Macaca mulatta: one gene and its partners. The protein of the gene in region 7 purifies or fractionates together with the protein of the main gene of each other region. This does not show direct contact. Links are inferred from orthologs where the notes say so. Each region holds a gene or a part of one and is shown on either strand. Other genes may lie near its edges. The genes, in order: SF3B6, SF3B2, TFIP11, SNRPA1, SF3B3, DDX5 and DHX15.

Region 1 (2,929 bases), on a different chromosome or scaffold from region 7:
AATTTTTTAAAAAATTTAAAGAGGCAAATCTAAGTTTCTAACAATGTACTATCATCTAAGTGACCATTTCTATAACAGACCTCTGTTCTAAAGACAAGGGTACCCATATTGACAAAGGTGTTTTGTTAACTATAAAGCAAGCATTATTCACATGTAAAGGCTTGGTTAATAACTGGTTGTTATCACACCAGCTTTGTATGTTAGCATTTTATTCATTCAACCAACATCATGAGCTTTGGTTTCCTCACCTGCAAAATGCAAATACCTATCTTTACTGAGTTGTTATGAAGGTTTAATTATTAATAGACATTCAATAAACAGCAAGTTCCTTTGATGGCTAAGCATTGCACTGGGCCCTGGAGGCATTAAGAATTTACATTAAGAGGTCCTGTTCTCAAGAAGCACAGAATCCCTAGGAGCACCTACAATTGTTGATAAGCTTCGACTGTTTTTTCCTGGTATCAAACAGGAAGGGAAAGTTCAAGAGAAAAGATTGAGGTGTTTCACAAAAAGCTGTAAGTTTATTAACACAATGTATTCTAATATGTATCAAAGTTTCAAGTAGGTCATGTTGAACCTCAAATTAGAAATCACAATATTTAGTATTAATTAAAAAGGAAAAAAAAGTGGAAAATTGTCATTCATGGGATTTAGTCCAAAATGAAAATGTAGAAAACATTTATTTTGGTGGATCTGTGTTGATGCCATATTTCTCCTTGAGAAGCTTCAACTGTTCCTCCTTTTTCTTTGTGTCCATCTTCTGAAATGCCTGGAAATGTGGTAAGCACCAAAATTAAATTACCAATCTATAGCCAAATGAATTTCATCAATAGCATTAGCCAAAAAACAAAGTCACAGTAGACATATATCATCACAGTACAGTTCTACACTAATTCTCAAATGAGATCACTACACAATGAGAACTTACTTACCCTGTTGGCATTATAGTACAAAACCACAAGGTATCTGTTACAAACATTGAATCCCGATAGGTGATCACATGCATTCTTGGCATCAAAGATGTCCTCATAGACCACATAAGCTGTTCCTCTAGTTTCAGGTGTGTTCCCCCTGGAGAGTTAAATCAAATTTAATTAAGATATACATTTACCGAGCATTGATAGTTGACTTACAGAACTGTCTTTTAAAAACAGTAAATTGAAATATGTTTTTAGTTAAGTATTTTGAAATCAACCTGAAACCATTAGAGGAAATAAACATGGATAGATATACTGGATAAACCTGTAATTTCTTGAATTAGGTAATTTAGCTTTTTGCTTTTATCTTAAGTAAAATATCTATGGGTCAAGCTGACTGTCACATCAGGAATACTAAGAACACAGCTACTACACAGAACAGCCTCGCGAGTTGTGGGGACTACAAGTGCTCTTGCCACCCTGACTGGCTCTACGATGTCTTTGTTTTGTTTTGTTTTTGTTTTTTTTTAGATAGAATCTCACTCTGTTGCCTAGGCTAGAGTGCAAGTGGCATGATCTCAGCTCATTGCAACCTCTGCCTCTCAAGTGATTCTTGTGCCTCAGCCTCCCAAGTAGCTGGGACTGCAGGCATGTGCCACCAAGCCCAGCTAATTTTTGTATTTTTAGTAGAGACAGGGTTTTGTCATGTTCCCCAGGCTGGTCTCAAACTCCTGACCTCACATGATCCGCCTGCCTCACCCTCCCAAGGTGTTGGAATTACAGGCATGGGCCAACACAAACGGTCTACATTCATTTTTAATACAACTCAAATGCTAATGCATGATACAGCTGTGTGGCTAAGGAGAAGGGCTAGGCTTCTGCGAAGATGGGAGTGGAAGTGTGCTTGTGGACAGGGTTATCTGTGAGCCAGGGCAGAATGCTGGACGGTGGCTGGAAGTGGAAGCTGACTTTACTCATGGATACGGGGTTGCTGTTAGTGTAGGTATTCCTGGCTACTTCCTTCCTTCACCTCACCAACTTCCTCTGGGAGAGGTAGAGAGGTTTGAGGAGCAATGGAACACTAAACTGCAGGCAGCAGATGGCCATGTGACTGTTAGTGGAGACAATGGGTAGAGGTCTCACTCAGTTCAGGCTCTAGGTGACAAGATGGCCCCCTTGCCTCCATCTGTGTTCCAACTACCCAGTGCAACTACTGTGGAATGAGCTTTAAGACTGTGGGCTGACTCTCCATCTGCCACAGTCCCTACATTGGGTTGAGTAAAAGCAGTGGAGCCATGGGAAGAGGAGGTAGCTGCCTAGACTTGATCTAGGACAGGACTATAGTCTGGGCCCTGCTCAAGCTTGTGCTTCCTGTAAAATTGAAAAGGTATAGGGTACTGCGGGTGATTGGAGGGTGCCACTGTCGATGAATGTGCTCACTTTGTCAGGTTGTGTGGGCCTGACAAGGGGTTTTAGAATGTTCTTTAGGCTCTGGGAAGTCTTAACAACTTTCAGACTTTTGACTTTTAAAAACTTAACAAGATTTTCAGTTCCTTAAGAGCAAAGGTGATCTTATGTGTACTTCATTCACTCCTTTAGTGCCATGCATAAGGCAGATGCTAATATGCCTTTGAAAAGTAGAGATCTACTTTCTCCTATCAATTCTCTCACACACACTTTGTCCAGGAAGCTCAAAACAAAACAAAGCAACTCTCTTTCTTCCTCTCATATCTTCTTAGGAACTAGAACAGGGATAGACACTAACCCCACTTTAAAGACTCTCCATCTTAAGTTTCCCAGCCCTAATTATCAACCTCACACCTTGAGAGCCATACTATAATTTGAACTTTTAAAGGCATGTATTTGTACCTACCACGTATTGGACACTGAGCTAACATTATTTTCTTATTTTTTTGAGACAGAGTCAAGCAATTCTCGTGCAGGCGTGCGCCACCATGCCCGACTAATTTTTGTATTTTTAGTAGAGATGGGGTTTTGCCATGTTGGCCAGG
Region 2 (4,240 bases), on a different chromosome or scaffold from region 7:
TCCAGGGAGCTGTGGAGAAAATATGATCATAAAATTAGGAAACATTTATCTACTCATCTGCACATATCTGGGGGATCTACTTTGAGTCAGGAGCTGGGATTCTAAGTCAAATGACACATAGTTCCTAATTCGTAAGAGAGAATGCTCCATAGCCCTATAAAGATATGAGAATGTTAACTTCCGGCACCAACCACAATAAGCTATCCACTCTCTCCAGAAAGATATCCTGAATACAGACTCTGCATACAATTCCAGGAGACTCAAAGACACCTCTGAGGCCATCTAGGGACTCCTCATTCTACACACAGAAATCAATAGATCCTAGGTCAGAGCCACTGCTTTAGAGAAAAAGAAGCAAATCCTGGATCAGAAGCAACATGGAAATTGAGAGGACTTAAATAAACAGGAACCACTGTACCAGGGCAATGCAAACCCCAATGACTGCTAAATGCAAGGAGTATGAAATCAAATCAGGGAGCTCTCAATGTCTCACAAAAGAACATGGGAACTGTTCCTGGGGCAGGCAAAGAAGAGGGTGATTGCTTCCAGCTGGGTAGGGACAAGTCGGGCTTCCTTGTATTCAAGCTGTTTTGTTTTTTGTTTTTTGTTTTTTTTTGAGATAGAGTCTGTCACCCAGGCTGGAACGCAATGGTGCAATCTCAGCTCACTGCAACCTTTGCTTTCCAGGTTCAAGCAATTCTCGTGCTTCAGCCTCCCAAGTAGCTGGGATTACAGGCGCCTGCCACGATGCCCGGCTAATTTTTGTATTTTTAGGAAAGACGAGGTTTCACTATGTTGGCCAGACTGGTCTCAAACTCATGACCTCAAGTGATTGCCCGCCTCGGCCTCCCAAAGTGCTGGGATTACAGGCGTGAGCCACCACGCCCTGCCTCTCTCTTTTTTTTTTTTTTTTTTGAGACAGTCTTGCTCTATCGCCCAGGCTGGAGTGCAGTGGCCTGATCTCGGCTCACTGGCTCACTGCAACCTCCGCCTCCTGGGTTCAAGAGATTCTCCTGCCTCAGCCTCCCAAGTAGCTGGGATTACAGACATGTGCCACCACGCCCAGCTAATTTTTGTATTTTTAGTAGAGACAGTTTCACCATGTTGGCCAGGCTGGTTTCAAACTCCTGATCACAGGCGATCCACCCGCCTTGGCCTCCCAAAGTGCTGAGATTACAGACATGAGCCACCATCCCCTGCCTCTTTTTTTTCCCCCTATTTTTTTATTTTATTTTATTTTATTGTAAGTTCTGGGGCACACGTGCAGGATGTGCAGGTTTGTTACATTGGTAAATGTGTGCCATGGTGGTTTGCTGCACCTATCAACCCACTGCCTAGGTATTAATTCTGGCGTGCATTTGCTATTTTTCCTGACAATCTCCCAGCCCCTGCCCCATCACCCCCCAACCTTTTTTTTTTTTTTTTTTCAGAGAAGTAAAGTCTCATTCTGTCACCCAGGATGGAGTACATGGAGTACAGTGGCGCAACCAGAGCTCATTGCAGCCTTGAACCTCAGGGCTCAAGCAATCCTTGAGCCTCAGCTTAGACAGTAGCTTGGACTTTATAGGCATGTGCTGCCGTGCCCAGCTAATTTTTAAAAATTTTTTGTAGTAACAAGAGTCTCACTGTGTTGCCCAGGCTGGTCTCGAACCCTGGCTTCAAGTGATCCTCCCATCTAAGCATCCCAAAGTGGTGGGATTACGGGCATGTGCCACTGCACCTGGCCACAAGCTGAATCTTGAATGACAGGTAGAATTTGGAGAAGCAGACAGTGGAAAAGGAGGCAAGTATCAGCATCAAAGAGAGAACTGAAGAGCTCACAATTCTGTCATGGCAGTACCTCCTTGCCCAGTCAGTCAGTTGCATCTCAAGTACACTGCAATTGAGAGGAAGGGCTACCCTGAACAGATGGAATCTTTCTATTCCCCACTCAGGTCAGGCGAGATGTGCAAGGGTGTGACGTCTCACACATGCACGCGAACACCGAATCATCATGCTCATGAACTACAAAAGGATCAGCAGATAGAATCTTAAAAAATGGAAGAACCTCCCTACCTGCGCTGACATGGGAGGTGGAGCGGCTTTGTCCCCATCTTCCCCTCTCAAAACCGGCCGATTCAGCACGATGCCAGTCTGCAAAAGAGAAAGGACTCTAGGTCAGTCCAAAACTAGCTGTTTCACTAATCGACGATCTCTCCCAATTCATTTAACAAAACGTATCCAGTGCCTGTCTGCCAGCGCTCCGGCTGGGCACTGAAGAGGACCAAGATGGATACAAGAAATTACAACTAAGCTGGCAAAGGCAAGAACAAGCCAAAAAGGGCAAGCCTCCGCCTTGCTGTGCCAAGATAAAGAAAGAATGAAGACCGAGCCGTGATGGGGTATATAAGGTCTCCTGGAGAAGCTCGGCCTATCCTGACGTCCCGCCGCCAACACCTACCTGGCGGGTGTAGGTCTGCAGCCGCTCCACCAGCTCCTCGCGATTACCTGCGGGGCAAAGTACACGATCAATGGAGCAGGCAAGCCCGGCCAGGTCAGACCCCAGCTGCCCGCCTCCGCCCCTCGCGCCCGGGTCTCCCGGGTAACCAGGCTCCGCTTCTCCGCAGGCCCGTAAAGGTCCCTCGACTTTCTGTGTTCCTCACCCTGGATCGGAGCTCCGATCTCTGCCAACTTGGCCTGAAGCTCCTGGGCAGCCCAGGCGCCATAGTGGCCTGGAGGTGGCGGCGGCGGCAGCTGCAATTCCGCTTTGGGAGGCTCGGGATGCTCGGACGCCATCTTGGCCGCAGCAAGGCGCGCGACCAACCCGGAAGCTCGGGCCGGCCTCTGGGCCCACTTTCCGGAACTTCCGGCGGCGCCGTACGCCACGTCCTCTCTGGTTGGGAGGCGACGCGCACGGAGGCCCACCCGCTGCGGTACGCTAGGCGACGGGATTCGCCGCAGACGCCCCTTTCTCCAGTGGCCCCTCGGCCGTCTGGTCGCTAGGCCTCCTGGGAGTTGTAGTGCGCAGGTCTCGGTCTCTGCGGGCCCTGCGCCAGGCTACGGCCCAGAAGGCCGGCGGCGGGCCGGAGGGCGGGGCTGCGGGGAAGGCTGGCCCTGCCCGGAGGGAGTGTTTTCTGCGCCTCACCTGCGGGAGCGCAGGCTGTCAAGCCTTCCGGCCCGGCTCCCCGGTCAGAGCCTCGGACTCTTACGCTCCCAGGGAGTCCCGAGAGACTCATTTCCCCGGCGGCTCCGCGTTGCGGGCGCCAAGCGGGAGGCTGGAGCCAATGCCCGGGATAAAACAGTGTCTGATTGTCTGCCCGCCCACCCCCGGCCCAGGCCCGGATGAATGGGCTGAAAGGGGATCCGAGCCAGGAGAGGAGCGGGCCCGCCCGGGCTGAGCTCCAGCTGCCGACCTGGGGGAAGGGCGACACTAAAGCCCCCTTTTCCACCTTCCAAGCCGGCTCAAATGTCGTCTTCACTAAGCTTTCTCCCGCTTTCCTTTCCTTTCTTAGAGTTCCCATAATACATTCGAATCTCCACCGTTTGATAAGTCTTTCTTGCCCTTTCTTCCTACCTGCATCCCAAAAATGTGAGCAGGGACTTGATCTTTTTCAGTCTCGCATCACCTGCCGTTCAAGAGGCGCCCAATAAATGATTACTGGGAAAAAGGAACAATGTTTCTGGTGACAGTATTTGTGTCTTTTAGTCTCAAAAATAAACTCAGGCCCCTTTTCCCTCAGCCGCACCTGCACTGGGGGCCCACCTTGCCGCCCACTCCCCACCCCAACTCCCCGTGGTCTTTGGGGACAGAGGCAGATACTGGCAGGGATTCTTGCCTGCCTAGCATCCACCTCTCGCTGTCCCACACCATCAATTCAATTTCTCTCCCCACCTCTGCCACTAGCTCTGCCCTGTCACTAACAGCCAGGCTCACTGTGTGTGTTTTTATGTGTATTGAGTACGGGAATGGGGAGACTTCAGTGAAATGGTCTCATTTTCCCCCAAACATCCCCTTCAGATCTTTTCTCCAGCTCCATTTTGCCAACTGCCCCCCGTGGAGAAGAAGCTGGGAACAGGGGAAAAAAGAATGGGGCACCAGGTCTGGGGAAGGTGAGGTTTGGGAGAGACAGGGAAAAGGATTGGGTTGAGAAAGGTTGGCTCACATCCTAGCACTGGGTGGGAAGTCCTCTTCCTCCTACCCAAACCTTGACCTTTCCCCTTTGCATCAATATCACTATGGCAGGCTCCTGCTGCCACTCCC
Region 3 (3,642 bases), on a different chromosome or scaffold from region 7:
ACCCAGGAGGTGGAGGTTGTTGTGACCTGAGAGGAAAACGGACATTATCTTTGCTCTTTGTGCTTCTGTGGCTTTGCCAGTACTAAAGCTGTGCCTTATAGACCGGGTTTCTCTTCCAGGGATGTGTCTTGGTGAGCTAGTCATTAACCCCCACCAGCAGCACATGGATGCATTCTATTGGGTGATCGACTGGGAAGGGATGATCTCTGTCTCTAGTCTGGTGGGACTTCTTGAAAAGCACTTCTTCCCCAAGTGGCTTCAGGTACACTGTTTTGCTTGGCTTTCTGGGGGAGGGAACTGAGTGGGGATTAAGTTAATTTTCTGCCGAGGCCTGACTGTAGGTACAATTCCATAATAAAAATGAATTACATGGTAGGGTAGGAATGAGTTAGGTCATCTTAATAGTGGCCACCATTTATTGGACATTTGCTACGTATCAGAAGCTGTTCCAAGCACTTTATTTGCTTTATCTCAGCTCCTCGCAGCAACCCTATGGGGTAGGGGCTATGGTATCCCTGTCGTGTAGACATGGAAGCGGAGCTCAGAGAGTTTACATGCAAGGGCACTTTAGCTACCAGGCTGACTCCAAAATCCATATTCGTAAGTCCTAGACTGTTTAGCTACTATAAATCCCTGTAAAGTGGTGTCACTAGCCTGCAGGACCAGGATCAAAACAAAACAAATGGCCCCTTCGGAAATCTTGCCTTCATTTGTTGCCACCATGGATGCAAGTAATTTTTCTTTTTGGCAGGTGCTGTGCTCTTGGCTCAGTAACAGCCCAAATTATGAGGAGATCACCAAGTGGTACCTGGGTTGGAAGTCTATGTTCTCAGACCAAGTGCTGGCACATCCATCTGTCAAGGACAAATTTAACGAGGCACTTGATATCATGAACCGGGCGGTGTCCTCCAATGTTGGTAAGTGAGGATTCCCATTTTGGATGTCCTGGCCCTGAGTTTCAGATTTTACACATGTAAATGACACAGAATCAGAGTTTTCTGGTTCCTGTAGGCAGCCTAAACCTTAGGTCGCACTTTTGCCCATAGCAACAGACTCTCACCCTGCTGATTGGGGTACATGGTCAGCTGGCACCCACTGCCCAGGTCTACCATGACTGAGAGGGGCATCTTCCCTAAGGAGACTGACTTAAGCTGGATTCAGATGTCAGTCTAACCCCAGGCCCCGCCCTCTTAACCACTGTGCTGTGTGGCCTTTTAAGGCTCATTCAGCCCTGAACCCGCTGCCCAGGTCACACATCTTACAGTGTGGAGTTGGGTACACGGTCTTACACTTGGTGATTGCTCAGCCTTCATCAGCCCCATTTGACCTGTTAAACAGTAAGATCTACTTCATAGGCTAAAAGGGGGATTGAGTTCATGCTTGTTTGCAGCCTTCAATAGGTGGTGTCTGTGTTGTCAAAAACCGGCAGTTCACTCTTCATGTACTATATCTATTCCCAAGTTCTAGGCAAGTCATTCTGCCTAGATCATAAGTAAATGAAAGTATGTTTATGTTTCTACATTTGGGAGCCTATTTCAACCAGTCGTGTGCTCCAGTGTTGCTCATTAGCCGATTCACAGCATTGAAATGGGATCATCTAGTCTGTTTCACAGATAAGCCCAGTGAGGCTAAGAGCCTGTTCAAGGTCACATAGTTAAAGGGTGGCAGTTAGAACTAGAATTTCTATTTCCTGAGTCTTTAATTCTTGTTATTTAATAGTTAGCCTAGGCCAGGCGCCGTGGCTCATGCCTCTAATCCCAACACTATGGCAGGCCGAGGCGGGTCAATCACGAGGTCAGGAGTTTGAGACCAGCCTGAACAACATGGTGAAACCCCATCTGTACTAAAAATGCAGAAATTAGCCGGGCGTGGTGGCACATGCCTGTAACACCAGCTACTCAGGAGGCTGAGGCAGAAGAATCACTTGAACCTGGGAGGCGGAGGTTGTAGTGAGTGGTGGAGATCACAAGCACTGCATTCCAGCCTAGGCGACAAGAGAGAGACTCGGTCTCAAAAAAAAAAAAAAAAAAAAAGAAAAGAAAAGAAAAAAAGAAAAAATAGCCTATTCTGTGAAAACAGAGATTAAGTAATAAGGCAAATATACTTCTCTGCTTCCGTAATTATCAAGTTCTTTCTAAAAACTCTTCCTTAGCTACCCCTGGCCTCATGTTTCCAAAACTCTTCCCTGTATATACCCCTCAGTGAGCACTTAGCATTTATGGTCTTGTATTATCCTTAAACACCAATTTCAGCTCCTCAAATATACGTGAACTCCTTTCAGGATGTGGGGCCTGTGTGGGTAGGTTAAAAATAAAGCCAGTGTGGGCCTATATTTTCAAGGTACTAAAAGCTGCCTCTTTGGTGGTATGAAGTGGAAACTCTACAGGGCAAGGTGGAAACAGGAGAGTGGCTGAGGACTCTGCTGTTTCCAGCTCTGAAAGAAGAAATCCCTTGCAGATACTTCATTTTTAAATGTTGAATATTTAATAATCTCTTTGGTTACTAGATACTAGCCAGAAACCTTCTGAACAGTTTTTATGTGATACTGGCCAGTTGTCTAAACTTCCTCCAAAGTTGTATCTTTGAGGCAGAACTGCCCTTCAGTGAGTCACAAACACTCTGGCACACCCAGACCTGGGCCAAGTCAGCGTCAACTTCCATACACCTGGAAACACCTCTCCTCACTGCCCTGTCCTCCTGTATCTCTCAGGTGCCTACATGCAGCCAGGCGCGCGGGAGAACATTGCCTATCTCACCCACACGGAGCGGAGGAAGGACTTCCAGTACGAGGCCATGCAGGAGAGGCGGGAGGCTGAGAACATGGCCCAGAGGGGCATTGGCGTGGCCGCCAGCTCTGTGCCCATGAACTTTAAGGACCTCATTGAGACCAAGGCTGAGGAGCACAACATTGTCTTCATGCCCGTCATTGGGAAGCGACACGAAGGGAAGCAGCTCTACACCTTTGGCCGCATTGTGATCTACATCGACCGGGGAGTGGTCTTTGTCCAGGGCGAGAAGACATGGGTGCCCACCTCACTGCAGAGCCTGATCGACATGGCCAAGTGAACTGTGGCAGGCCCAGAGCCAGCCAGAGACTTGCCCCTGAGAGGGATGTGTTGTGAATAAACGGTATTTTAGATCACCTTCAAAAGCGTAACTTCTTTACTCGGGAGCTACTCCACATTGGGCCAGGTCACGAGGGAAGCATGTAAAGCGGGACAATGCCACTTAGCAGTGCAGGAATCTTTATACCAAGTCCTCATGGGGGGTATTGTCCTCAAAACAAGACAGCCAAGTTGATGTTCTTTCCTGGCAAAGGAGTTCTCTGTAGTTCCTCCATGGCAGCCTTCCCTTTAGTCTCCGGTGGCAGCTTCTACCTCAGCCAACACTGAGTACCTCACAGTGAGTTCAGTCAGTAGTGGAAGGATCTTCTGTCTTGTTCCTGATGATTTCAAGGTCCTCACAGTCCTGATAATCTGGTTCTTCCTGAAACTCCCAAATATCTGTGGAGAGCTGTTCTAGCTTTTGCATGGGGAACCAGTGGACAGAGGTGTCATTAAATATGTCCATGTATTGTGAAGTCTGAGGAAACTCAAGCTCCTCCAGTCCTTTTAAAATCTGAGCAGAAAAATTCAAGTGTGA
Region 4 (4,270 bases), on a different chromosome or scaffold from region 7:
GCACCACTGCACTCTGGCCTAGGTGACAAAGCGAGACCCTGTCTTAAAAAAAAAAAAAAAAAATTCTAATCAAACAACACCATTAAGAGTGAAAAGGCAAGCCACAGCGTGTGTTCATATGCCTAATATATAAAGAAATTCCAAGAATCAATAAGAAAAAAGGCAGACAACTCCATAAGGAAAAAAATGAGCCAAGGACTCGAAAGAACACTTCACAAAGGAAGCTATCAGAATGGGCACCATACACATGAGAAAGTTCTCAGCTTCATTAGTTATTAGAGAAAAGCAAAGCAGTAGTGCAATACCACCACACACCCATCAGAATAGCTAAAGTTATAGACTTAAAATGCAAACAAGCCTGAAGCTGGAAGCCATGAAAACCCTTACACACCGCTGGAGTGTGTATATTATTTCAGCCTCTTAGTATAACTGTTGGGCATTACTTATTGATGATAGATATAATACCCTATGTCCCAGCAATTCCACTCCAGGAAAAACTCATGCAAATGTGCATCAGATCCACGTACCAGAAAATTCATAGCAGCATTACTCAGAATAGCCCTAAACAGAAAACAACTTTGATGTCCATCAACAGCAGAATAAGTAATTTATGGTATAATATATACAATGGAACTCTCTTCAGCAGCGAAAGCAAACAAACCATCTCTGTAGGCAACCTGGATGGACTCCAGACATAATATAGACTCAAAGAAACTAGGCCAAAAAAAGCATACTGCATGATTCTATTTATATCAAAAGCAAGCAAAACGAATCTGTAGTGTTGAGTTCGCGGTTGCCTTTGGGAAAGAGGAAGGCTTTCAGAATAGTGGTTTTTTGGATCTCGGTGTCGGCTAAGCAGTTGTGTTCACTCTGGTCATTAATCACGCTGTAAATTCATCATATGCACACTTTTCTGTATATCATACTTCATATGAATATTCAGAAGTCTAAAGGCCACAAGCTTAACCGCAAACCCTACCATGCCCTAGGCCAGGTTGGACTTGCGGAGCTGTGGGGTTGTCCCGGCGACCTGCCCCAGGCGGGCCACCTAGCCCGGGATCTCACACTGTAACCCGGAGCCAAGGCCCAGGCCCAGGCCCAGGACGGGTACCTGAACTCCTGGACCCTTCACTGAACCCCACGGGTCCCCGCGCCGGCTGGTGGAGGGAGAGCAGTCACAGCTTCCCGTCCCACCTCAAGGTGCGCTAATGCATGAAAAAGTTCCCCTCGGATGTTTCCACATTCGCCTTAACTTTTAAACACCAACGTCTGGAATCATAGGTTCTCCAGACTCCAAACACACCCCAGGAAAGAACCCAGAACCAGACACAGCCCCTGCGCGCCCGGCAAGACTTCCGGCAAGAACGACCCCGAAGGCGTGGCTCTTCCATTGCTTCGGCCTGGCGGGCGAGCTGCGCGCGCACTCGGGGGCTGCGATTGGTGCTGCCTGGCGGTGGGGCGCGGGGCACGCTGGGACGTCTCGCTGGCGGGAGGCCACGGGCTTTCCACGGCGCGAGGAGACGGGAGGCAGCAGGATGGTCAAGCTGACGGCGGAGCTGATCGAGCAGGCGGCGCAGTACACCAACGCGGTGCGCGACCGGGAGCTGGACCTCCGAGGTGAGTCCGAGGGCGTGGGCGGCCAGCCCCCGGGCGGCACCGCGTCGCCTTATTATCCGCGCTCTGCCGCGTGCACCGAAGGCCGGAGCTTGGCCCGCGGGCCGGTTGTCTGGGCTCCGACCGGGCTGCGCAGGGAACGCGGGGCCTGATTCTTGCCGTTGTTGCCAAATGAGCATCCCGTTAGGCTCTTGGAGCCTTCTCTTACCGCCGTGCCTCTTGACAGGCACGAGTGACTTCATTACTTCCTGGTGCATACTCGTGGGGCTCTATTAGGCCTTGCTTGGCTGTTTCGCAGTTGGCTCTGTTTGAGGGCCCGGAAGAGCGGCTCGTTAATGGTTGTAACGCTAGTGCAGGGCGAGTGATTGGTTCTTAATACTTGCCGCCAGACGATATTTTGAGCGTAGATGGGATATGTGTTCGTTGTTCCTAATGTGAGGGAGGAAACCAAGTCCCCGAACAACAGCGATTGTTTCCCCCAGTATTTTCTACTTAGTACCTTTGTCTGGCGTTTCCCCTTTATGAAGACGTTTTAAAAATTGAACTGTGTGACCCAGGTTTGCACAGCCCTGTGCTGTGTGTAAGTTGTGGAAGCGCTCGCAATTATTCAGATTCCTGTACTATTTCAACCTTAGCAAGACTTGGTAAGATATTGGGAGGGCAGCTAGCTAGTTGGCATTTCAGGAGACGACTTTAAAAAGGATGTGAAGAGCAACTTCTCTGGGGATAAGACCATGCAGCCGTAGCCTGAGATTTGTTCCCACGGGGACCTATGGCTTTGGAGCAGCATCGCTGCGGGATCTGCTTAGATTTCTTGCTGACCTTTGGGAAATCCCGTTGTGTTGTGTTGTGTGTTGTGTTCTGCTTAGATTTCTTGCTGACCTTTGGGAAATCCCGTTGTGTTGTGTTGTGTTGTGTTGTGTTGTGTTGTGTTGTGATGGAGTCTCGCTCTTTCACCCCAGCTGGCGTGCAGTGGTGTGGTCTCGCCTCACTGCAACCTCCACCTCCCCGGTTCAAGTGATTCCTGTGCCTCAAGCCTCCCGAGTTGTTGGGATTACAGGCGTGAGCCACCACGCCTGGCTGATTTTTGTATTTTTAGTAGAGACGGGGTTTCGCCATGTTAGTCAGGCTAGTCTCGAATTCCTGACCTCAGGTGATCCGCCTCCGCCGGCCTCCCAGAGTGCTGGGATTAAGACGTGAACCACTGCGCTCGGCCCCCAGTATTTTTATTTTGTTGAAATTAAGTTTGTTAGAGAAAGGTTCAGTTCAAGAGCAACTCACCACTTTTTTTTTTTTTTTTTTTTTTTTTTGAGACGGAGTTTCGCTGTTGTTGCCCAGGCTAGAGTGCAATGGCGCGATGTCAGCTCACTGCAACCTCTGCCTCCCGGGTTCAAGCGATTCTCCTGCCTCAACCTCCCGAGTAGCTGGGATTACAGGCCTGCGCCATCACGCCCGGCTAATTTTGTATTTTTAGTAAAGACAGGGTTTCTCCATGTTGGTCAGGGTGGTCTCGAACTCCCGACCTCAGGTGATCCGTCCTCCGCGGTCTCCCAAAGTGCTGGGATTACAGGCTTGAGCCATTGCGCCCGGCCCAACTCACCACTTTTGATGATCTCTGCCATTTCTCTTTATGGAGTACGTGCAATATTGAGAATACATATTTTGATGCAATACGTGTAGTATAGCTCTGAATTGTGCCCTTTAACTTTGGGTGAATTCTTTTTTAGTAGACCTTGCTTCTTCAGAATATTTCTTTTCTTATAGTGCCTAACACAGTAATTATGCTCAAATTGGACAAATTAACATTTGAGTGTTCACAGGTTTATTACTCTATGTAAACCATTGAGTTCTTCAACTCTAAATTGTAGCTGGGGGAGGGGAGGGAGAACTGTCATATCTTGAGGCTGTTCTGATGGGTTCTAAGAATCTGGCCCGTGGAGATGCAAGAGTGGAGAACTGTTATCCACAATGTTTGAACGCTGTTTGGGCACTGAGACTAAGCAGCTCAAAGTGTAAATTCCTGTTGTGCGGATTCCGCTTAACTAGCCCAAATGACTTAGAACAGTGTGAGGCACCTTGTAAATGTTCTTATAAATGTTAGCTACCTATATCACCCATTATTATTGTTCTTGTCCTTGTTGTCATTAGATTGTAAGCTTCATGGCACTGGGTACTTGAGACTCGTTCAGCATTTTCTCTCTAGTATCTTGTACAGTGGCAAGGCATGTATGACATGGCATAGGTGCTAGGTAATGCTTCCTGAATAAATCAAAGCCTGGAATCAGATACTATGAAATACTGCTAATGTTTTAAGGGGCTGTTTAGTTATATTAATACCTCTTGTGTGTTTTTTTTTCCTCCATTTTACAGGGTATAAAATTCCCGTCATTGAAAATCTAGGTGCTACATTAGACCAGTTTGATGCTATTGATTTTTCTGACAATGAGATCAGGAAACTGGATGGTTTTCCTTTGTTGAGAAGACTGAAAACATTGTTAGTGAACAACAACAGAATATGGTAAGTGCCTATAGGGGAAAGTAATTTTTTCCCCCTAGGGTAAATGTTGCAGTGTTCCCTGAAGAAGCTGTAGCACGTACTACCGGTTAAACCTACATGGTTTTTTTAATTTAATTTTTATATTTTTAAAAAATATTT
Region 5 (3,500 bases), on a different chromosome or scaffold from region 7:
CATTTCCACAATACACAAGGACTCAGGCTGGGCTGGGAGAGCCTGCATGCTTAGAGGTTGCAAACAGTCCTGAGAGGGAGAGAAAAATCATAAAAACACAGAAAATGACAATTTTAGGACAAAAACATACCCAGAGAAATCTAATTCTAGGATTGAAAAAGTACTTCCTTATGCACAGAAAAAGCCCCGGGAGTGAGTTCTAAGAGAGTATTGGGTTATTAGTTATACCCAATCTCAGAATAAGCTTCAGGAAGATCATGCTTTCCTCCTTGTGTCAAAGAAGATAATGGTAAAGGTAATTAAGCAAAGCACACCTCCCGAAAAGTCATCTAGGGTCCTGCAGCAAGTCAAATTTATGCAGTCTCGGTTTTTAACTAAAAAAAGGGAGTTGAGGTTTAAGCCAAAGAAACATTTCTGTAGTCTCAGATCATATCCTTAAACCACAGCAGGAAACTCCTGGAACACACTGCAATGACAAGAGAAGTAGCAGGTATGGATTCTGGGGTCTAACCCAGTTGATCTCAGAGATGGACATCAGGAGTGGGCCAGATGCTCAGGTTCCAACCAGATGATCCTTGAAGCTCAGAGTGTCACTCACTGAGGGGTCCAGGGAGATTATTCTGACAGTGTTGTCCACAAGCCCCACAGCCAGGAAGCGAGACCGCTGCTCTCCAGGGGGTACATTGGCCAGACTCATGCACACCACATCTGCTGACATCTCCTTCCGTTCTGTGTACTCATTCAGCTGTCCTGACTATAAGAGGAAAGACAGAGCGAGGTCAAAACTACAAAGGGGTGGGTCTATATGCTCCAATTCACCCCAAAACCCTGGATCCAGAGAATGAAGGACGGCTGTTGTATTTTCTTCTGCATACTCTCACTCCTCTTACTATAATCAATGACAAGAATTTCTCTACCTGAGTTCTCAAGACTGAATTTAATAGGCTCACAGCAAGCAAAATGAGTATCTTCCATCAATAAGAGAATGAACAAGGTCAATGTGCCACAAATTTTCTTAGCCAACTTTGCTCTCAGGAAATGGAGATATATAAAACTGTTTATGTGTTTACAAGAATACTTTGGGTGAAGGGAATTCAAATATGGTTGAAGACAAAGACATCTCAACCAAAGGTACAGTCAGGCTACAAATCTGGCCACACTAGAGCCCTCCTGAGAGCAAGGTAATTATGTGTACTGAACATTCTTCCATATAGAAGTTTTCTGAAATGGAATCAGACTGCAGAAATCAATTCTATGCCAAATATTTGTTGGAAAAGTAGGGAGTGAAATGCAGGAGGAGCAAGTGTTTCGTTGCTAACAGGGGAATTCATAACTCTACCCAGAATTAGACATCAACTTACCCTTTCTCCCCATCTCTGTAAAGGGCCAAATTGGTTTGTGAACACTGTCACTCCAACTCCCTTTTTTTTCTCTTTTTTTTGAGATGGAGTCTCGCTCTGTTGCCAGGCTGGAGTGCAGTGGCATGATCTCAGCTCACTGCAACCTCCGCCTCCCAGGTTCAAGCAATTCTCCTGCCTTAGCCTCCTAAGTAGCTAGGACTACAGGTGTGTGTCACCAGGCCCATTAATTTTTGTATTGTTAGTAGAGACAGGGTTTCACCATACTGTCATCTAAATGACTAGATTACAATGCCCATCCTTCCCTCTGGACCCTGCACTAAGTCCCACAGTGAATGATAAAATAACATACGGGATCCATCTCGAAATAGACCAACTCTCCTCCCGTCAGGGCAATCACCACTTGTCGCTGGTTCACTGCACACTTCACAATTGTTTTCTTTCCAGGGGTCTTCCACTCATTGACTCTCTTGTCTGCTCGTATGTGCCGAATGCCATCTGGATAGACCTAGAGTCAGTAACAGAAAGAAACCTGACTCTAACAATTTGATTCATCACTCAGAATGACCCTCACATCTATCAGATCTGTCACTACAATCAGATGTAGGGCCACTGCATTTGAGTAACCAGTTGAATCAATGACAAAAGAGTTAGCAGGCCCCAGGCAAGGTCAACTTTTAAATAGTTAATGTTTTGCGGTGTCCACTTCAAAGAAGTTCAAAGCTTATTAACAAAACACTTACAAAGATCTTTACTAGAGATGAAAGCTGCAGTGATGTGGCTTTGTAACAGAAAAATGGCAAATACAGAGGGGGATGTTATGTGCCAAAATCATAAGCTCCATCCCTAAGGCTTACTGGAAGGTGAGAGTGAAGAGACATGAACACAGCAGCCACATCACAATGAAGGCCAAGAAAGAACAAAGCAGGCCAAGTAGGTAAGCTCTGAGAACCCTCACCTGCACCAAGGCATCATCTCCTAATAAGGAGCAGGACAAGGTCGGGGTGGTCCCCAGGAACCCAGAGTCAGTCACTTCTTCTACAGTCTCTCCAATGGACAACACCAGGGTGGCATTCACGAAAGACACAATGATGTAGGCATCAAACTCATCTGAAAAAGAAAAGAAGGGAGCTGGTTAGATAAGAACTCATCAGAATTACAAAGCCAAATAAAACACTAAGAGTTCTCTTCAGAAACCTTCCAAGGCACTTCTTCTATGCGTAGTTATTACACACATACACACATACACATGCACACAGAGCAAGATGATCCAGAAGAAAACTAGGGGTCATAAGAGCCTACAGATATACCCTGCTTCCTCAATGTTTTCTTGAGACATCTGCTAAAGAAGTGAGAGGGACAAAGCAAGGGAATCGGAGGCATGAGGACATTTTAAATACTACAATGTTGATACATGAACATACTGAGCTAGAGCTTCATTTATTTGTGCCAGTTGTCAATCATACAACCCCTTCCTAAGAAGAGATAGCTAGAGCTTCATTTATTTGTGCCAGTTGTCAATCATACAACCCCTTCCTAAGAAGAGATACTCCTTCTAACTAGGAAAGACCCCTAACTTCTTCCAAAAGAAGCTTATGTAGAAATGAACATAAGCTCTAATTAATAAAACAGAGATTACTTAAGCCTCTGTGACACTAACTCATTCTAGGGTTGGAAGCTGAGAATCCTAGTCCCAGTGAGAATGATGTAAGAAAACTAGATAACCAGGAAATGGGGGGTGGGGATTGTTTATATTGTTATTCCTTGACCTGTCTGGTTTTTCACTATTTAGAAACAGAACAATTGTGTGGTCGTGAGCAATCCTATTAGAATTTGCTTCTTCTAATTAAATGTGGTTGAATAAACACTAACGAGTTTCTCAAGGAAGTCAGACGACTTGAGGTATACCAGAAACCCTCAGTTTCTTCTGCAGATCCCATAAAGGCCATCTATTTTCCATGTATCTCACCCTACAACATACAACAGCTTCTGCCAGTGTCCCCATCCAGTACCATGTTTGGCATAAAGCTTGATAAATGTTGACTAAAGGCATGCTAATTTTTTAAAAGAGTTGAGATTTTCCTCCTTTACATTTGAATTTTTGTATCAACACCCCCTTACCCAGAAATCAGGTAAAAAAGG
Region 6 (4,185 bases), on a different chromosome or scaffold from region 7:
ACTTGCTGCACCTGTTGGGCCAGTTCCCGAGTTGGTGCCAGCACCAAACACTAAGGAAAGAGAAACAGCTTTCAGCACAAACCTGGATACTAGTTTTAAACTATTAACTTATTAGTTATGATGGCAGATCCTTTCTTCATGTGTTGTCCAATACCCAAAGCAACTCCAGCTGAATAGGGTGAGCTAACCTCTGTATAAAACCACCACAAATAATTACATCTTTTGCTATGTAGTCTAAAAATCTATATATTACACTTCTAATAAAAAGTTAAAAATATATACTTACAATGGGCCCATCGCCTCTCTCTAGGAATGGCTGATGATTGATGTGGACAATGGCAGGAAGCAAATACTATTTGGGGTGAAGACGGGGACAAACAGAAATCACATTAAAATACTCTTGTTTTTAAATTAGCATTCCGTTTTCTTGCACATATTACATCAAGAGTTCTCTCAAACTTACAGACAATGTTTTCCCAGATCCAGTCTGTGCCACTCCAACCATATCCAATCCACTTAGAGCAACTGGCCATCCCTGAGCTTGAATAGCAGTGGGTTCAGTGAAATTCTGTCTTGCAATAACATCCATGACATTTGCTATAATTAGTGACAGATATTTAACAAAAATTAGTGATGCCAAGGAAAGGAGGAGGTAGGTGAAAACAAAAACACAGGGGTAGGGTAGAACTGAAAAGTAGCACTCACCAGGGAAATTAGCTTCATAAAAATTTAGAACTGGCTTCGGGCAGTTGTGACCTCTAACTGTAATTTCCTTGCTTCTTCTGTATGTTTCCACCTCTTGCTGCAAAACAAATTATAACAGTCTTAAAGCTCATGACAACCACCCCTAACTAAATACGTAATTGGCAAGCCCGTAACTTCATAATTTAGTAACTAGTTTAAAGTAGCTTCATTTTAATCTGGAACCGCGTATGAAAACCCTATATGACAAAAAAACCGTTTATTCTGCTATACTCAATCTAAAAAAAAAAAATTCCCAAAGCCACCTATTTGCAAAAGTGAGTCACACCTTTCCCAATTACGAAGTCAGAAAACGTAACTCTACCAAAATTGAGTTATTTGCAAAACACCTGTCAGAATTTCATTTACTAGACTCCATTGAGTTACAGCCTGATGAAGCCACATGAATTTACTCACTGCTGTCCGCCTAGCCAAATCAGGGTGCTCTTGATAGAAATTCTTCTCAAACTTGGGCAGCTCATCAAGATTCCACTTCTTTTTAACTAGTTTCTCCCCAGGGTTTCCAAACTTCTTTCCAGATAAGGGCCCCGCCCTACTTCCTCCAAATCGAGGTGCACCAAACCTGGAATGAAGAAAAAAAGTTATTTACATTTTCAAATGGCTACACCTAGGTTTCTGGACAGATTTGTTTACCATCCCTTGGCACAAGCTAAAGATCACTGAAAGCCGACTTCGAGAGGTAAACCTAGCACTGTCCTTAGTGATAATCTCTCTCTCAACAGCCACAGTTAACGTTTCCCGTAGTCCCAAGTACACACAACTTAGGCCACGTAAACAGCCTGGGATTTACTATATCGAAAACTTGTCACCCAGATGCCAGAATTTAGTATTACACACCACTTCTTGTGGTTACTATTATCTTTCTCACCAGTCTAGCAATTCATTATCAGTGATAACAAGCCTACATGAACCGAAGAGCATCACAACGATGTTACTCATATGGCCGTTTTCAAGCCAAAGAGCTTTGATGTCAACAATCTAGACAGCACAGACAACGAAAACGAAACAACGGTTTAGAAACACTTCTGCTAGCAAACCGAGCTGGGGGGACGCCGCGGTAGAGCTCCGGATCAACGAATTAAAATTATATAACGCAGGAAAAAAGAAAAGGAGGAGCCGGCGACTACCGGGGGAGGAGTCCCGGCCCGGGCGGAGCCGGCCGGGCGGCGTTCCCGCTGGGGCGGCGCTTCCCCCTTTGTCTCGCATTTCTCTCTGCGCCACATTTTCTCGACGCTGCCATTTTGAGCTCCTCCGCCGGGCGGAGTAACAAAGGCGCCGCCGCCATGTCCAAGGCCGGCATTTTATACCCGCGACTCAGCCACATGGCTGATGCCGGCCGCCCTCCTACCCCCACAGCACCAGTGGCTTTGGAGGTGGTCCCTTCGCTCCCACAGAATGCCCGACCACCCCAAAAACACCTCCCGAAAGGCCGCACCTAACAGCTGTTCCTTCGTCTGCCTCGAAGCGTCGCGCTTTCATCCGAACAATGCGCTCCCTCTGAATTCCCTCAACAGCTACCAAATGGCAGCCGCCCCGACGGCTCCCCGACCCCCACACAAAAAGCGAGGATGAAGACACTATCCCGTCAAATCTCTCCCACTCACTGTTACGTGAATATCAAAATGGCGCAAGCCTTCGGGAAAGGAGGCCCCAAGATAGCCCGGAAAGGCCGAGTCCAAGCCGCAAAGCCCCGGCCCGCCGCCACCCTGACCCGCCCTCCCATCCCCCACCCGCCAGCCCTGACAACTCGGCTCCCACACTCACCCTCGATCCCGGCCGCGGTCTCGGTCACTCGAATAACCCGACATAGCGTCAATGGTTGCGGTTGGCGGGGAACGAAGTAGATAGAAAAGGGTGCGACGAGTCGCTGGAAATGGCTTCGGCGACGGCGAAGCCTTGCGGGGGCGGCAGCGGAGGAGTGACGGCGATGACACCAGCCAAAGCTGCACACCTAGAGACCGGTGGAAATGAATGAGGTGCCGGCCGCTTTCCGGCAGCCGCTTTTATAGTCTGGACCTCCTCCTACGCCGCAAGGCACGCTGGGAGCCGCTCTATGACCTAATCGCCCCGCCCCTCGCGCAGAGGCCGCAACGCCCGCCGGCGTTCCGCGATCGCCGCGCTTTCACCCCACCCCGTGCCGCTCTCTCAGGTCAGGGCCCACCCACCATTGAAATGCCTCATTCTCCACTCTCTTGACCTCACCTTCTTCTCGTCTTTCCACACCTCAAGAAAGCCACCCTGCCCTTTCCCAAGCCCAGCCAGACGATAAAACAGCCAGCCCAAGCCCGCCCACCCTCCCCACTCGGAGGTGTTTACGTCTCCAAAGAGCCCTCACGCCTGTAACCAAATGAGAGGGAAGGCGGGGGCCTGGCGTTGTCACGTGACGTTACCCCCCCACCGCCCACCGTGACAGGGGGCCGCACTACTTCCCCGTTGACGTCGGCGGAGGGATACATAACGAAATAGCTCACCGGAAGTGCGCTGCCAGCACCCGGGACCCGCCCCCAGCTGCCGGCTAACTTGGACCGTCCGACCCACGGGTCTGACAATCCTGTGACGGGTTTTGGCCGGCGGAGAATGGTCTCTAAACTTCCCAAACCGCTTCCGTGGCACGTGCTGTGAAAGGAAGTGCTCCTCTGATGACCAATCAGCGGCGAGAAGTTCTTTTAACGTCCCTCCCTCTTTCACGCCTCCTTCCCCGCGCTTTAGTTCGTGCGCCCGCCCCCCAGCGTCTGCTCTGCGTTCGGTCCTTGCAGGACACCGTCGCCGGTCTGGCAGCGTCGGAGTCCGGCGGCGACCTGCTTCCGAGACATGGCCCGCTCGGAGGCTGGTGAGTGTTTCCCTGGGGTCGCGGTGTGTGTTTACTGAAACTGTCCACCTTCAGGGAGGCCTCGGGCTAGCCCGGACTGGGTCTGGGGTGTCGGCGGGGCTCGTTACTGTCAGACGCTGCGTCGCGGTGGCGGGTTCTCTGGATAGGGTCTCTCAGCTTCACCCCCTCTTCGCTTTGAGGCCGTGGAACAGCAGTATGAGGTGGGAGAGAGGCACTGGGGCGAGGCCGGTAGGACGCTCGGGTCCTGGCTGCAAAAAGAGCAGTCAGAAGGGTCGTCCTCGGACTTGTCTTTCTGTGGGGCGTCTAGCCGCTGTCCATGTGCCCTCCTCCCTTGCACTATGGGCCCTGAGGTCGTACCTCCTTTTGTAGTGGTCTTTAAAGGAACGGCACTCTTAAGGTTTATTCATGCCCCTGCCACAGAAGAATAGTGGTGCTTTTTTCTCTTCAGTGCCCTCTAGAGTCATGGGCTTTGTCTAGCACCGCTTTTGAAGAGCGAATTAATTTGGTTGTCTAGGACGCTTTCATCCTTTTCACTAGGACTGCGTACAAACCAGTTGTCATGGTTTGGCCAGTTGTGAGAAATGGGCTTGGAG
Region 7 (3,500 bases):
AACTGGAGTCCATATTAGCTGCCTTCACTTGAGCCATCCCTAACTAAGCCTGGTTTCCCTTTTTGGTTCATTGATCATTCTGACATCATTTGTTATTTGTCTTCCATTTATGTGTCAGCATTTCTTTAGTGTAGATGCTGCCCCTCAGTCCCACTTCTTTTATTAATAAATTCCTTTTGTGCATTAAGATTATTTTTTGGGGGTGGGAGGAGGATGGCAGACTCAAGCGCTGTCAGCCCTTTTGAACCAAGAGCCTGGTGTTAGCTTATTAAGTATAAGTAAGGAATTGTTAAGGCTTAACAAAAAATGTTTATTTGCATGTGGTAACATTTTAGTAGTGTGACATGAAGCAACTTAAAATGGTTTATTAGTTTGTTTTGTATGTTGAGTATTTGTATGTTTTTAAACGGTTTAAGAAATTGAAAATGATGAATTTTGCCTTGGCATTTGTGTGAAACCGTGTGATCGTTATGTTCCATAATCGGTCATAAAGTCTTCCCAGTACATTTCAGTATTATATTTTTCAAGAATTGATAATGCATATTGTGTTTGGTTGTATACTCTTAAAAAAGATTTTCTTGAAACTTAATTTTGCAATTGATCGTGAAACATTAGCACATTTGTTTGGGGCAGAAGTTTAGTTTTAATTTACCTAATGTCTTTGCATTTCATTTTTGTCACGAAGTTTGGTTTTAAAATGACCTAAAGGAACCTTTAACCAACATGTTCTTTGGAATATAGGTATATGACTGATGGGATGTTACTTCGTGAAGCTATGAATGATCCCCTCCTGGAGCGTTATGGTGTAATAATTCTTGATGAGGCTCATGAGAGGACACTGGCTACAGATATTCTAATGGGTGTTCTGAAGGAAGTTGTAAGACAGAGATCAGATTTAAAGGTGAAGTAATTTCTTCTCTCCATTTAATTATATATGTGTGTATATGGGCATAAAAATGGGGAATACATACTGATCAATAACCAACTGTAAGAAATCACCTGTAAAAGAAGGAACTAGTAAGTACCTTCTTGTTTTGTTTCTGCTTTGCTGTGTCTTCATTTTAGACTTTAAGTATATTTCTCCCCCTTTTTAGTAATGCATTTTTAAGCCAAATCTTCTCAATTTCTTACCCACCTAGTTCTTTTATAATCTAATAACATATATGTGTAACTGCGCTACTCACTCTACCCTTCATTAAGTACAGAGGCCCCCTTTACTTAAGGATCAAATCTTTGTTCCTCAGATCCATGTCCTTGTCTCATCACAAACACCCATTGTAACTTAATAGTGTTGGAGAGTGGAAATAACTATACATAGGACAGGCAGCTCCTTAGAAATGTAGTCGCTTACCCTAGTGTATTACTTCTTTTCTCCATACCGCATGTACCTTGGCCACTGTTACTATGTTGATTAAGGGCCTAAAACTATTTTTGACATTTTTGTCCCCCAAAGTCTATGAAGTTCACCTTTTTGCTGTGTTGTGTGTGTTTACTATTCATTAGAATGTAGACTCATCCCTTGTTGATATGTGTGTTATAGAAGGGTTCATAGCCTGGCAACAGAGCGAGACTTTATCTCAGAAACAAACAAACAAGGGTTCAGCACTGGCAAGAAAGATTCTGGGTCTTTAGAAAAAAAATTGAGACCCGAGCATGTTTTTGTTTATAAAAATTAGATCAATGCTTTAAAAAATATATTTAAAGAATAATGTGAGTACTGTCATTATTTATTAAACTTGCTGTGCTACCAAGGTTTTAGTGAGAACCTGAAAGTAGAAATTAAGAACTCTAGTGAAACATTTTAGGGAGGAACCTTCTTTTTATATCTGGTCCACTAATTTTTGTTTGTTTGTTTGCATTTTCTTTCTGTTTTTCCCTATTTGCAAAGTTTTGTTTTAATAATGGTAGCAGTAATTATCCTACGTATTAATGTTTTCTTTTACCAATCTGAATTACATACAATTTTATAAAATCTGATTTTTAAGGTATTTTATGAAGAAATACTGTAGTTTATGCATTTATTTTTTTTCTAGATTTTTTAAAATGTAAATAACTTTTACTATAGTTCAGCCATTATGTATTTGATTTTTCATTTACACTTTAAAAAAAGGTTTTCATGGGCTTTTTAATAGCTGATATATACATAGAATAGTGAATATTGCTATACTTTAAGACCGCATAAGAACCCTTGAAGACAGCTTCAAGTAATTTACTGTTTTCTTTCAGGTTATAGTTATGAGCGCTACTCTAGATGCAGGAAAATTCCAGATTTACTTTGATAACTGCCCTCTCTTAACTATTCCTGGGCGTACACATCCTGTTGAGATCTTTTATACTCCAGAACCAGAGAGAGATTATCTTGAAGCAGCAATTCGAACAGTTATCCAGATTCATATGTGTGAAGAGGAAGAGGGAGATCTTCTTCTTTTCTTAACTGGTCAAGAGGTATTGTTTTAATTTTCTTCATTATTTAGCTTTTGACATACTGTTTCTAATATGCAGCAACTTTAATCATAAGAACATGGCATGTTAATCATTTTATTTCAATGTTCTTCAACCTGATTATATTAATATGTAAAATATATAACCCCCTTTATCTGTATACTATAGGAATACTTTTATATACCACTAGAGTTTGTGTTATAGTTAATTATTTTAAGAGTGTTAAATGCTTTTGGAATTTTAAGATTTTGCAATTGCAGTTTAGGAGATCCGTGGGATACAATTGGTATTATGCTGAGGCATGAATTTGCATCATAGCTGCTTTGAAATCAGGTTATCCTCATACAGTTATTTAGCTTGTGAGTGAACTTGGGTGCCTATTCATCGTCAAAACACTTCAGTTTGGTTTTGTCTTCCCATATGCTCATGAAGGTTGGAAAGGATTACTAAAAGTTCTTAGTTAGAATTTACTTCATTTAAAATTGTATTCTCAGATGTAGCATTTCTAAGCTTATTTTCAATAGGGTGTTTATAGGTGTGCTTTGGAATTCTTGAATGGCTAAATAAATTCAGAAGCTATTTGGATAATACAAAGTTTTAAAAAGGCTTTTACGAAAGGGTTTTTCTTTTTCTTTTTTGGGGTGGAGAGGGAGGACAGAGTCTCTCTCTGTCACCCAGGCTGGGGTGCAGTGGCATGATTATCGGCTCACTGCAACCTCTGCCTCCCAGGTTCAAGTGATTCTCTTGCCTCAGCCTCCCAAGTAACTGGGCTCACAGGTGCCCACCATCACGCCTGGCTAGTTTTTTTATTTTTAATAGAGACAGGGTTTCACTATGTTGGCCAGGCTATTCTCGAACCCTGGACCTCAGGTGATCTGCCCTTCTCAGGCTCCCAAAGTGCTGGGATCATAGGTGCAAGCCACCACACCCAGCCCCAAAATGCTTTTCTGATGGCATATGAACAGCAATGGTGGTATTGAGACTGTTGGGATAATCATTTTGTCCTCCTGTGTCTGGTCTCTCTAGTTTCTCACTTCCTCCAAAGTGCATAGTGTATT

Evidence for each region.
Region 1: the proteins of DHX15 (region 7) and SF3B6 fractionate together in Homo sapiens (co-fractionation; 3 studies listed by BioGRID and IntAct, with this or other methods). This does not show direct contact. The link is inferred for Macaca mulatta from reciprocal best matches to the Homo sapiens genes DHX15 and SF3B6.
Region 2: the proteins of DHX15 (region 7) and SF3B2 purify together in Homo sapiens (co-immunoprecipitation; 3 studies listed by BioGRID and IntAct, with this or other methods). This does not show direct contact. The link is inferred for Macaca mulatta from reciprocal best matches to the Homo sapiens genes DHX15 and SF3B2.
Region 3: the proteins of DHX15 (region 7) and TFIP11 purify together in Homo sapiens (co-immunoprecipitation; 4 studies listed by BioGRID and IntAct, with this or other methods). This does not show direct contact. The link is inferred for Macaca mulatta from reciprocal best matches to the Homo sapiens genes DHX15 and TFIP11.
Region 4: the proteins of DHX15 (region 7) and SNRPA1 fractionate together in Homo sapiens (co-fractionation; 3 studies listed by BioGRID and IntAct, with this or other methods). This does not show direct contact. The link is inferred for Macaca mulatta from reciprocal best matches to the Homo sapiens genes DHX15 and SNRPA1.
Region 5: the proteins of DHX15 (region 7) and SF3B3 purify together in Homo sapiens (co-immunoprecipitation; 4 studies listed by BioGRID and IntAct, with this or other methods). This does not show direct contact. The link is inferred for Macaca mulatta from reciprocal best matches to the Homo sapiens genes DHX15 and SF3B3.
Region 6: the proteins of DHX15 (region 7) and DDX5 fractionate together in Homo sapiens (co-fractionation; 3 studies listed by BioGRID). This does not show direct contact. The link is inferred for Macaca mulatta from reciprocal best matches to the Homo sapiens genes DHX15 and DDX5.

Annotation. Positions count from the first base shown.
Region 1 is NC_133418.1:100,972,796-100,975,724, reverse strand, and holds the end of SF3B6 (splicing factor 3B subunit 6), read right to left. Parts: intron 1,072-2,929; coding exon 933-1,071; intron 770-932; coding exon 680-769; 3' UTR 501-679; downstream 1-500.
Region 2 is NC_133419.1:8,360,864-8,365,103, forward strand, and holds the start of SF3B2 (splicing factor 3B subunit 2), read right to left. Parts: upstream 2,801-4,240; 5' UTR 2,776-2,800; coding exon 2,643-2,775; intron 2,488-2,642; coding exon 2,441-2,487; intron 2,134-2,440; coding exon 2,056-2,133; exon of another isoform or gene 1,934-2,055; intron 1,320-1,933; exon of another isoform or gene 1,191-1,319; intron 627-1,190; exon of another isoform or gene 571-626; intron 58-570; exon of another isoform or gene 46-57; coding exon of another isoform or gene 10-45; coding exon 1-9. UniProt on the Homo sapiens protein: Component of the 17S U2 SnRNP complex of the spliceosome, a large ribonucleoprotein complex that removes introns from transcribed pre-mRNAs.
Region 3 is NC_133415.1:25,062,731-25,066,372, forward strand, and holds the end of TFIP11 (tuftelin-interacting protein 11), read left to right. Parts: intron 1-119; coding exon 120-262; intron 263-751; coding exon 752-917; intron 918-2,465; exon of another isoform or gene 2,466-2,710; coding exon 2,711-3,066; 3' UTR 3,067-3,142; downstream 3,143-3,642. Other genes in the region: SRRD (SRR1-like protein), read right to left, coding at 3,409-3,618. UniProt on the Homo sapiens protein: Involved in pre-mRNA splicing, specifically in spliceosome disassembly during late-stage splicing events. Intron turnover seems to proceed through reactions in two lariat-intron associated complexes termed Intron Large (IL) and Intron Small (IS).
Region 4 is NC_133412.1:91,654,048-91,658,317, reverse strand, and holds the start of SNRPA1 (U2 small nuclear ribonucleoprotein A'), read left to right. Parts: upstream 1-1,470; 5' UTR 1,471-1,535; coding exon 1,536-1,617; intron 1,618-3,984; coding exon 3,985-4,132; intron 4,133-4,270. UniProt on the Homo sapiens protein: Involved in pre-mRNA splicing as component of the spliceosome. Associated with sn-RNP U2, where it contributes to the binding of stem loop IV of U2 snRNA.
Region 5 is NC_133425.1:69,293,784-69,297,283, forward strand, and holds part of SF3B3 (splicing factor 3B subunit 3), read right to left. Parts: intron 2,469-3,500; coding exon 2,317-2,468; intron 1,867-2,316; coding exon 1,711-1,866; intron 755-1,710; coding exon 599-754; intron 70-598; coding exon 1-69. UniProt on the Homo sapiens protein: Component of the 17S U2 SnRNP complex of the spliceosome, a large ribonucleoprotein complex that removes introns from transcribed pre-mRNAs.
Region 6 is NC_133421.1:74,403,430-74,407,614, forward strand, and holds the start of DDX5 (probable ATP-dependent RNA helicase DDX5), read right to left. Parts: upstream 2,801-4,185; 5' UTR 2,571-2,800; coding exon 2,527-2,570; intron 2,505-2,526; exon of another isoform or gene 2,242-2,504; coding exon of another isoform or gene 2,198-2,241; intron 1,325-2,197; coding exon 1,159-1,324; intron 803-1,158; coding exon 706-802; intron 598-705; coding exon 464-597; intron 353-463; coding exon 287-352; intron 51-286; coding exon 1-50. Other genes in the region: CEP95 (centrosomal protein of 95 kDa), read left to right, coding at 3,574-3,592. UniProt on the Homo sapiens protein: Involved in the alternative regulation of pre-mRNA splicing; its RNA helicase activity is necessary for increasing tau exon 10 inclusion and occurs in a RBM4-dependent manner. Binds to the tau pre-mRNA in the stem-loop region downstream of exon 10.
Region 7 is NC_133410.1:23,574,618-23,578,117, reverse strand, and holds part of DHX15 (ATP-dependent RNA helicase DHX15), read left to right. Parts: intron 1-741; coding exon 742-901; intron 902-2,226; coding exon 2,227-2,445; intron 2,446-3,500.